Linked DNA regions of Neurospora crassa OR74A. The protein of the gene in region 3 binds, or shares a complex with, the protein of the main gene of each other region. Links are inferred from orthologs where the notes say so. Each region holds a gene or a part of one and is shown on either strand. Other genes may lie near its edges.

Evidence for each region.
Region 1: NCU07386 (region 3) and NCU09539 share a complex: the UniProt entries of both Schizosaccharomyces pombe proteins name them as parts of the mitochondrial small ribosomal subunit. The link is inferred for Neurospora crassa OR74A from reciprocal best matches to the Schizosaccharomyces pombe genes SPOM_SPBC16A3.14 and sws2.
Region 2: NCU07386 (region 3) and NCU03343 share a complex: the UniProt entries of both Schizosaccharomyces pombe proteins name them as parts of the mitochondrial small ribosomal subunit. The link is inferred for Neurospora crassa OR74A from reciprocal best matches to the Schizosaccharomyces pombe genes SPOM_SPBC16A3.14 and rsm25.

What each region holds. Positions count from the first base shown.
Region 1 is NC_026505.1:4,526,051-4,529,251, forward strand, and holds NCU09539 (putative mitochondrial 37S ribosomal protein SWS2), read right to left. Parts: upstream 1,697-3,201; 5' UTR 1,538-1,696; coding exon 1,535-1,537; intron 1,469-1,534; coding exon 1,424-1,468; intron 1,340-1,423; coding exon 1,028-1,339; 3' UTR 564-1,027; downstream 1-563. Other genes in the region: NCU09538 (microsomal dipeptidase), read left to right, coding at 1-531; NCU09540 (hypothetical protein), read left to right, coding at 1,901-3,201. UniProt on the Schizosaccharomyces pombe protein: Component of the mitochondrial ribosome (mitoribosome), a dedicated translation machinery responsible for the synthesis of mitochondrial genome-encoded proteins, including at least some of the essential transmembrane subunits of the mitochondrial respiratory chain.
Region 2 is NC_026502.1:1,034,485-1,037,919, reverse strand, and holds NCU03343 (mitochondrial 37S ribosomal protein RSM25), read left to right. Parts: upstream 1-1,503; 5' UTR 1,504-1,843; coding exon 1,844-2,229; intron 2,230-2,319; coding exon 2,320-2,656; 3' UTR 2,657-2,837; downstream 2,838-3,435. Other genes in the region: NCU03342 (hypothetical protein), read right to left, coding at 1-891; NCU03344 (hypothetical protein), read right to left, coding at 2,838-3,435. UniProt on the Schizosaccharomyces pombe protein: Component of the mitochondrial ribosome (mitoribosome), a dedicated translation machinery responsible for the synthesis of mitochondrial genome-encoded proteins, including at least some of the essential transmembrane subunits of the mitochondrial respiratory chain.
Region 3 is NC_026501.1:6,129,509-6,133,491, forward strand, and holds NCU07386 (Fe superoxide dismutase), read right to left. Parts: upstream 2,565-3,983; 5' UTR 2,295-2,564; coding exon 2,033-2,294; intron 1,652-2,032; coding exon 981-1,651; 3' UTR 520-980; downstream 1-519. Other genes in the region: NCU07385 (hypothetical protein), read right to left, coding at 3,088-3,983. UniProt on the Schizosaccharomyces pombe protein: Component of the mitochondrial ribosome (mitoribosome), a dedicated translation machinery responsible for the synthesis of mitochondrial genome-encoded proteins, including at least some of the essential transmembrane subunits of the mitochondrial respiratory chain.

The DNA.
Region 1 (3,201 bases), on a different chromosome or scaffold from region 3:
GGTGGCTCGGGCAAGGACTGGAATGGCAGCAGGGCCCCTGTCATCTTCAGCCACTCGAGCGCCTACGCGCTGTGCCCCCACCCGCGCAACGTGCCGGATGACGTCCTTCGTCTGGTCAAGGAGCGCAACTCGCTGGTTATGGTCAACTTCTCACCCGACTTTATCTCGTGCGTGGCGGCGCCGGACAGGGACGATGGGCTGCCGGATTTTTACCCGGCCAATGCGACTCTGGAGCATGTGGCTGACCATATCATTCATATTGGCGAGCTGATTGGATATGATCATGTCGGTCTGGGTAGTGACTTTGATGGGATTCCAGTCGTCCCGAAGGGACTGGAAGATGTCTCGCGCTACCCGGACTTGGTGGCCGAGCTGCTTCGACGGGGTGTTAGTGATGAGGATGTGAGCAAGGTCGTGGGCGGTAACATACTCCGCGTGTGGAGGGATGTTGAGCTCGTGGCGGCTACGATGCAAGCTGCTGGTGAGTCGGCTCTGGAGGATGATCTGCCTAACTTGATGCCCGAGGAGTAGACATCTGAATGGGCGGCACGTAGAGAAAATTACCGTGTTTCCGCAAAGTTTTGTGGCAGCGTAGATAGCTCCAAGATGAGCCTGCAGATGGCAAGCTGCTTATATAAAGACACAAGATCTGGCTAGCATATAGACTCGGGAATTGGGTATCATAAATGTCTGTCGTGATTCGAGTCAATAAGCAAAAAGTTGCCCGTGTTTTGACTTGATCCGATGAATTGCTCTACAACGCCGCGCCTGATTCCTTTTGCGTCCCAGCGTGTCTTCGTTCTGGCTTGACGTATCGTACACTGATTTTGCCTGCCTGCCTGCTCTAAAAGCTCGACAACACCCAGCCGAGCCACGTCAGGCACATCTCTTTCTTCTCTGTCCATGCGTTCGATCCCATGGTCCGACAGCTATCGAAGCAAATGTCGCGTAGCAGAATTGCTCCAGAAATATCCAGACGTCATGGTATTCTCCAAGGTTCCCGTCACCATTACCGTCATCGACTCGCTCAACCGTGGCGCTCGATCTTGTTGAGCTTCCTGGCGTTGGCGATCTGGTTCCTCGTCTGCTGACCGCGCACGGGCAGACCCATGGCATGGCGACGACCGCGGTAGGTACCCATATCACGGAGGCGCTTGATGTTGTCCAGCACCAGCCTCCTGGCGTCGTTCTCGATTGTCATGGTCGACAGTTCGGCCGTCAGGGCAGTGACGATCTTGGGCGGGAGGGTGCCCATCTTCGCGCGCGGGTGGATCGAATACTTTGCGAGAATGCGGGCAGAGGCCTGCTGGCCTAGGCCGTAGAAGCTCTCGAGAGCTTTCTGTGGTTCGCAAGTGGAAGGTTAACCAGGGTGATTCTTGGAGCGCAGAGGAGGACGAGGACGAGGACGAGGAGGAGAGCGCACCTGGACGAGCTTGTGCTCATTGAAGTTGACTCCCAGGATGAACACCTAGCAATAAAATGTTAGAACTTTTGGACAAATATTCCCGGAAATCGCAGAGGCCGTTGTAGGTACCATCTTGTTAGCCGACGATAAGTCACCTTGTCGCAATGGGCATAACTCGGTTCAGGAATCGCGGAGGAGTCTCGACTCTCAGCTCTCAGCAACCCGCAACCCGCGATTTGGAACCGGGCGTGCAGACTTGCCGGGCAGGCGGCGGATCGTGGGGGAGCCCGCATTGGCCGGTGCAAATCCGCAGCGGAGCATTTGGGGTGCGGGACAGCTGGCATCCCATGCTCCGCCAGCTGTCGCCATAAAGGTTATACACATGCGATTGTACCTCATGCATACACTTTACCGTATGAGTCTTGCGAAAAGAAAGCCAAAATTTCATGGCGATGTGCCAAAAATGCAGATGAACAACCACTCACCATACACATCATGACGATCGACTTTACTGCGAGGCCAGAAAAGCCTCTTCCATACTCGGATGATTTTTCATCTGCAGACCAATATGTCGACAGTCTGCTGGACTTTGCGACCAATTCCCACCTTTTCCAGTTTCTCTGTGGTGGTGTCCACATTCTTGACTTCTTCACCAGCGAGCCCGGCCTATTTGTCTCTGCCGTTCCCAAGGAATGGCAGGAGTACCTGGTGCAGACCGAGCCCATGGTCCTTTTGGATTTCTTGATGAGAGATGATCTTGACACACTTGCCGCGCAAACTGGCCCGGGACAGCCTCCCGAGACGCTGGTTCAATATGTCAAGGATATCAGGAAACTTTCTTTACGACGCTCCTTCCAGCCCAGCAAGCCAAAACTACCGGTGCTTCCTCGGCAGGTAGCTTTGGGAATGAACACCAAGAAAGTTCACGAAGTCACTCACTTTTCCGGATACATCGACAGGCTCTCGGAGGACGTCGCTCGGGTGAGGGGACAGGAACTGACGCACTTGGTAGACTTTGGCAGTGGCCAGAATTATCTAGGCCGCGCTCTGGCGAGTCCTCCGTACAACAAGCATATTGTTGCCGTGGAGAGCAAGGAGGCCAACACAGCAGGCGCTAAGGATCTCGATATCTTGTCCGGTCTAGCTGAGCGGGAGAAGAGAATCCGCAACAAGAAGCTCTACCACCGCATTATGGAAAGTGTAGATCCGTCAGAAGCCAACGATGAAGAGGCACTGAAGCGCGCCGCAAAGGCACTGGGTGTGACAGACGAAGATATTGCTACCATTGATCTCCGATCGAGAAAGGAGCTTCAGGCCACTTATGCGCGGGAGGAAGGAAAGGGCAGCATTGAGTACGTCGTTGCCAAGTTGGGAGATGCCGACTTGGCCCCTGTGATCTCCCAGCTGGAGTACACGGAAACTCACAGCGAGGATGATCTCAGCATGATGGCTGTGTCCATCCACTCATGTGGCAACCTCTCTCACTACGGCATCCGGTCCATGGTCCTCAACTCGTCTATCCACGCCGTTGCAATCGTGGGTTGCTGCTACAACCTTCTCACCGAAAAACTGGGTCCTCCGACTTTCAAGCCTTGCTTCAGTCGGCCAACCCTTCAGCCATTGAATGCTCGTGTTGTTAGGGAGTCCGAGAGACGAGATCCCCAGGGTTTCCCCATGAGTGAGAAACTCTCCACCTACAATGACCAAGGCATCCGACTCAACATTACAGCGCGTATGATGGCGTGCCAAGCACCCGGGAACTGGACCGACAAGGAGAGCGATGCCTTCTTCACCCG
Region 2 (3,435 bases), on a different chromosome or scaffold from region 3:
AACCTTGTGTGGAGTGCGCAGCCGCACGAGTACAGCAAACCTGAGATCGCTCAGTGTGTGTTGGCCAAATTCGTCCAGTCCAACCACTTCGTCCGGGCCTGGATACTCGTAGTCATCTTCATTTTGTACAAAGGTGAACCGGGGCCTATCAGCGGGCGCATAATTATGCATGTAAGGATCGCGAATGAACTTGAGGTAGTCTTCGACCGTTCCATCTAGATCATGATAGGGATCTACCAGTTCAAGCAGCTCTTCTTTGGTGAGATGACCGAGCTTCGCACTGTGGGATTCGGGCAGCTCTTGTGATTGTGGGTTTGCGCCCGAGTGGGACTCGGTCGATAGATCGTCATGTAGCGCGGATGGGGCCGAGAAGACAGAGTCGGCGGGCTTCTGATCGGCACTGGGTTCGGGGGCAGCTGCGGCAACGGGGTCAGGGACCGGGGCTGCCGCCGCCGCCGCCGCCGCCGTGTGGCTCCGCTTTTGGGGAGCAGAGACCGAATAGCGGAAGAAGTTGGAGTCGAGTGCTCGTCTGCTGTTCGTGCCGGACAGACTGGTGGGAGTTACCCGCAGGGATGGGGTGGTCAGTAGCGGGCAACCGGTGGAGCCGCCTATGGGTCTCCTCGCGACCCCATCGACAAGGCCACCACTTTGTGAGCTCCAGCTGCCGTGGAAGCACCGTCGTTGTTGTACTGGGCCGAGGCCTGCTGTCGCAACCTGTCTTCTTCGTCCGCTGCCTTGGTCACCGAGCTGGATGGATGCTGTGGTTTGCGACACGGAACTGGTGGCAGCAATTGCGGTTGCGGAGGCGGCAATGGCAGACCAATTCCACGACGGACGATGCAAGAAGATGGTGCCGCATATCGACCCTTCAAATCGGCTGGAGACTTTCATGAGCTGCCGCCGTCCAACATGATGGCCTGCCCATTCAGCCAACCTTTTCTTGCCTGTTCCCCGCGAGTGTCGGCCGCAATTCGATGAAGAAGAGCTCAGAGAAGACGCAATCACAAGCTGCTGGCTGCTGCGCACTCGATTGGCACTCGATGCAATCGCGGTTACTGGCGAATTGGATCGTACTCAGGTCGATGTGGTCAGGGCGTCAGATTCGTGGAGGGCGGGGAAGTATGGGGAGAATGGGGAGAACTCGAGTCATGAAGTGAGGAGGGATGTGGCAGGAAACTGGGGTCGGGTGAGCGACGCGATGATTGAGAAAAAGTTGGGGTAGTGTAGTGGTGTACACTACAATACATGGACGAGGCACAGCTCCAGGTACCTTGCCGTGAGCACACCCCACCCCTGCCTCTACGAAAGAGGGGAAGCTGGAATAGGGTCCAGTCTCGGCCGGGCTCAAGACCCCCACTTCTGTTATCGATAAGCACCTAGCTAGGTACTTCCCTTCCCTTTGGTCGCTTAATGGCGGGGCGGGGAACTATTTTTTTTTTGCCGGCACGTCCTTCCAATTGCTCGCCCGCTCGCGGCAGGCAGGACAGCAGGTCGCGCGGGTTACCGGCAACAACTGAAGGTCGTGTCGGATCGTGCCTGTCTCCAAAAGGCACAGCTCCACTTTGGACAAAGCTAAGCAAATAGCGATAACGATAGGTTTGGCGGGTGAGGGAATCCATTGTGCCTACGCAGCGCAGCGCAGTGTATTATTATTACCTTACACAGGTATACACACCCCGTAACCTCGTAGCCTTGCCTTTGCCTTGGGAGGGTACCTGAGGAACGAAAGGACCGCCGAATCCGCCAATGGTCCTCTGATCTCAGCCAACACCACCGCTGCCGTCGATTATCACCAGTAATTCCCTCCACAACACCCAAACGCCGCCAGCGACGACCGGACAAGATGGGCAAGGGGCGCATCTTCCAGGCCGCAAAGGTCTACCAGAGGGCCAGCGAGGCTGCTGCCACCAACATCGTCTCTGGCCTGCCACCACGGAACCCACCACTGTGGCTCAAGGCCATCGAGTCCATCCCTCCCGCTGAGATCAACACCAGACCGTATCCGATCCAGCACTCTCCGCCGAACCCGCGAGCGCGCAAGCCACGCAACCTCTTTAGGCCCACCAAGATCGTCTATCCCGAAGATGAGTTGCGCCGCGACTTCTACCGCGACCACCCTTGGGAGTTGGCCAGGCCTAGGATGATTATCGAGTTGGATGGCAAGGACGCCCGTTTCCTTGACTGGTCCAAGGGCCTCAGGCAACGCGGCATCCCCTTGTCCGGCGAGAGGTACGTTGTTGGATGAGCGCATTGCACATGGCGCAAAAGCCCGGCGGACAGGCATGGAAATTGGATGCTAACCCGAATCGCAAACGATAGTGTCGTTCAACGTCAGCTCTGGCTTATGGAGAATCAAGGCATGACCAAGCAGGAAGCCTACGACAAGGCGCGCCACGAGTTCTACAAGTTGAGGCAGTTGGAGCAGATGGAGCGCAGGATAGCCGTCGAGGAGGCCCGCATGGTTGGTGGCTACTTTGGCAAGGACCTTCTGACGGTCGGCATGGAGCTCGAGAACAAGACGTATGAGAGTTGGAAGAAGTGGGCTACGACCGAGATCGCCCGCCAGGAATCTGCCAGGGCTTCCATGTACACCAATGTCGTCGACAACTCTGCGCTCGAGGAATCTGAGGAGGACGAGCTGCTCGCGCAGAATTAAGGCAACGAATTGGAGTAAAAGGGGAGGGACAGAGTGGTATAGCGTGGCTGATACCCATCCGTGTCGGGGAAAGACGATGCCGGCCCACTCGTGCACAAGTGTAAGAATATCACGTCTCTTTGTACATATAGAGAGGGCAAGAGACTTTGTAGAAGTACATGTGATTCAGGAGCCTGGTCGCCTATCTTCGAAGAAACCCGGCAGACACCGGCCCGATATACTGACTGCCCTTGAATATTTTCGCCAGACTCTCGTGCTGCACACCGACAACATCGGCAATGCCCGTTTTTAGAAACAACTTCCCCGTCAGACTCATCGTCTTGGACCTGGCCCAGGTCTCGATGTACACCACCTTGGCCCTGTTTTCGGGTACGAGGTAGAATATCTTGAGCAAGTGGGCCACCAAACACACAATAAAGCCGTTGGCAGGCCCATTTGTAACAATCACATGCGGGTATCTGAATCCCTTTCCATGATCCTTTGTTGACCGTGGGTTGGGCATCCGTGTGAGGGCATTGGCGGCATGAAAGGCGGATATGAGGCAGGTAAAGGGTGCCGTATAGAGCGGTTGATGGACCTTGCGCGCACGGCGGATTAAGAAGATATCAGAGGTGCCTGCTCGATCATCTTCTCCGGGATAGGCGTCCTTGATAGTCGCTTCCAGAAGGCGGGCCTTGCCGAGAGAGGAAGTGTCTCCGATGGAGATGATGTACCGCCGGTGGATGTTTGCCTGGCCGCGAAATGACTGCTTGATGGTCTCAATCATCTCAGCAGTGTGT
Region 3 (3,983 bases):
ACATGACATGGCATGGCATGGCATGGCAATCGAGACACCGATACACTCACTCTGCCGTCCTTCACCGGTGCTCGGTTTACGTACCTACTTTTAGTAGCTACCGCGCTGAAACGAACCAGTGAGGTCTCGGCCAGGCAAATCTGATAACCTAACAGTCAATAGTCAAGATTCAGTTTGTCACCGATCACTCGGCATGGAGCCTGAGGCCTTGCGAAGGAGGAGAAATCAGAGGCTGAAACTACAAAGGTAGAAGGGCTACAACTGGCAGCGGTCAGGTATGTTTTCAACAGCTGATGTGTCGTGGTAGTTACCTAGTGAGCTGATATCGTGAAGGAAGCAGACATCATGCGGAGTAAGGAGTAGTCGGACATGTAGGTCCGTATGAGGTCCTTAGGAGATGTACTAAAAAGTTTGGTCAAGTAAGCAGAGAAGGTTGGATGTCGATGTCACAATGTGCGTCCATCTTTCAAAGTGCTATATTTACAATTTGCATTTGACCTATCCGTTTGTTGCTTCGTTGCCGTTATCCTGCTTTCCTCTTTCACACACACACACACATTTGGTTCATTGGTAATATACACATGTAAAAGTATAGATGGCAGCTGCCGGGGCTGGCTTGGTTTTTACTTTCCTTTCTCTTTTTCCGGCCGGTCTCACCGTCATGCTATCCTATCGTACAGAACAACTTTTCCCTATATATCCGGGTTCCATATAGACAGACAAAGTCACAGAAGTAACTTGGGCAGCAACCGTACAATAATCCATCTCCATCCCGTTCCACTCGCTCTTTCTACCCCTCGGACAAGGTGACAGCCGTCGGACTGTCGATGGCGGCGGCAGGCATGGACTGATGGACCAGTAGTCGCGAGTAATTCAGAACCAAAAAGTCGAGGCTTAAGCTTTCACGCTCCCGCTTCACTTCCTACTTCAATTCCTCCTCACTCCTCCCTCCTCTTCCCCCGCAGAATGGAAGCAAGAGGCTAAACAGAGCTATCACCGCCCGTCAAGATCCTAGTCTCCAGCCTGGCCTCCTCCTCGACCTTGGCCCAATCAATCATGTTCCACCAGCTCTGCGCATACGCCAGCTTACCACCCATACCACCCACACCAGTTCCGTATTCGCGAAGCCACGCGTACTCCCACGTGTTGAGGCACAAGATCGGAATCAAATCAGTGCCGCCGGGAGCCGTAGGTTCAAGCTTGTTGCCCTTGAACCCAGCTGCGCTGCGCTCGAAGAAGCGCTGGCCGTTGCTCAAGCCCTGGGGGGAGCTCCCGATGGAAGTCTGGGCGTCCATCTCCTGGCGGCGCCAGTGGGCGCCCGGGTAAGGAGAACCAGCCAAGTAGGTGGCCATGACGCGGAGGGCGACGGGCTGACCGGGAAGCTGGGTGCGGACGAGCCAGACGAAACCGGGACCGAACATGGAGACGGCGGTGCCGATCATCTCGTCGCGGAGCGTGTCGACGGAGCCGAAGTTCTCGTTGATGTGGTAAAATAGCTTGTCGCCCATCTTGACGGGGACCGGGGACAGGTGGTCGAAGAAGAAGTGGTTGTTGTGCGCCATGGAGGCGTGGTTGAACACATGGGCGAGCTCGGGGTCGCGTGCGGTGGCGAGGACGATGGACTTGGTGTCTTTTTGCTCAAAGTCGGTGCCTGTTTGACGAAAGAGAAGTAAGCAAAGTGGTTTGTCGGTTAGATATCTCCCATGCAGCAAAATAGGTGACATCATGTCTTCCCCCCCGGATAGGCAGGGCATGCTCTGGCTTGAGCTTCAATCCGAGTCCCCTTCCTTCTATTTCCTCCACCAATTCCTTTGTGGCCTAACCACTGCGCTAATGCCTCCTCTTCCTCTCAGGCTTAACAGCATCCCAGCTTGGCGTTTTCGACCAAAGGATACCAATTCCTCGCAGCCAGTAATCCTCGCACGTAACCTTCATCCATGCCATGCCGTGCTATGCCGTGCCACATGATAACGCAGCGACACCAAATTCCCCAGACGAGTATGTTCTGTGTTGCTGTGTCATCCGTACGTACCTACTACAAGCGCGTTAAGCTTCTCCAAAATGAAGGTCTGGTACTCGGTATAGGCCATGTTGACGGAGCCGGGGCTGAGGAAGTTGCGGATGCCCTCTTGCTCGAAGTTGTCGCGAAGCGGCATGAGGTAGTGCTGCCATCTCCTTTGAGCGGCGATGCTGGCGCCGGCGACGGCGGACTGGTTGGTGGCGACAGCGTTGACGGCACGGCCGAGGAGCGAGCTTGTCGCACGGGGTATCCTTAGACCCATGGAGCCGATCATTTTGTCTGTTGGGGTTTTTTTTGGTCTCTTTCTCCGCAAGAAAACGGCCCGGGGGTCGGAGGAAAGGTTCGGTGGAAGGGAAGGTCGGCCGGTCGTTCGGTCGGGGGAGATGGACGGTGGACAGTGTGTGTGGGGGGCGGACCTTGAGGACGGACGGAGACAACTTCAAGACTGGACGGGCTGCCGGCGCAGAGCGGACGCACTTCAGAACACACGGGCACTCAACCCCGGAAGACGGTCGAAGTGGGACGCGACTTTCGAGACTTTTTTTGCTCCGCTGCGGAAGGACCCGGCCATTGGAGCAGGGACCAATCGTTGGGACGAACTGGCGGCCGGCAGCCTCACCGTCCTCGCAAAGAGCCAGGTTTGACCCTAACCCTGGATGTTATTGAGAGGTACCTACCGTCCTTGGTGGGGTAGCTGTTTGCCAATTCCGGAGTTCCGTACTTGGCGTTCACATTGACTTGCGTCTTCAACCGTTTCGATGATGTACTGGTGCACAGATACTGGGCATCTTTCTCTACTTTGCTCGTGTATGTGCTATGTTCATTATCGTACTTTGACCGATATTCTGTAACGCTATTGTAAAATAATTCCGTGGACGCCGTTGCTCGAAGTCCGAACAACTAACAATAATCACGAGGCGAACTGGACGCCCTCACCGGACTTCCCCCACCAGTACTACTTGACGCCAAAAACGACCCGATGATGCAGTATCCCGAACAGAATGAGGAATATAAACAGTGAACACCGACACCCCCTTTGAATCAATTTCCCTTCCTTCCCTGGTCATTCAAACGTCGTCCTCCACCATCGCAAGAACATCAAGCTCGTTCCTGACCATCCGCTCGAACTCTTCACGACTGATGCCAGCGCCGCGTGACAGCTGGAATAGACTTCGAATCGTCCTTGAGACGTGCTGCTTAACTCCAAACTCGACTCGATCTTGCGCTTCCGCCGTTTCTTCGAGCTTGGCCACCATGCGGGATCCGTTTGAGCTGGCGCTACTGGCTGGGCGCGGATGAGCAAGGCTTTCCATCCTCTCCTCGTCCGCCTGGGACATGCGCCGGCCACTTGAGTCAGAACCGGACTTATCAGAGGGTGATCGGGATGGAACGTAACCGCCGTTGCCGTCTCCGTTTAGGCCCAATGGCGGCGGCGCTGGTGCGGACTTGATGACAGGCGGCTCATATGCCTGTTGTCTTGGCGACGGAGACCTGCGAAGGGGGAGACCATTAAGCGGTGCACCACCCCCCACAGCTCCGCCCTGGAAGGCCTCCTCGTCTGGATCATGGGGGTCCATGGCTGGCTGTACGGATTCGTATTGGGCGAAGTACGCATCTTCGGCGGACGGACTACGCTCAAAGGGATGGGGTTTTTGAGTGTTGAGGCCGGCGCCCAAGGACGGCGGCGCAGGAGAGCGGCCTTGACCGGGAGTTTGGGAAGGCGTGGCATCGTATCGGCCCCAGTAATCATCGTCGTCATCCTCTTCAACCGGTTCAGCTTGGACGGATACTTGGGCAACTGGTTTGGTTTCTGGCACAGAGATTTGTTGGGCCTTGAACGCCTTCTCTGCTTCATCGAGTGTAGCATGACCCTGGAAGGATTCGAGGGGAGATGGATTGCTGGCTACACCGACCTCGCCCACACGCCATCCGTCGCCGCCACCGTCTTTGTCGTTGACGCAGT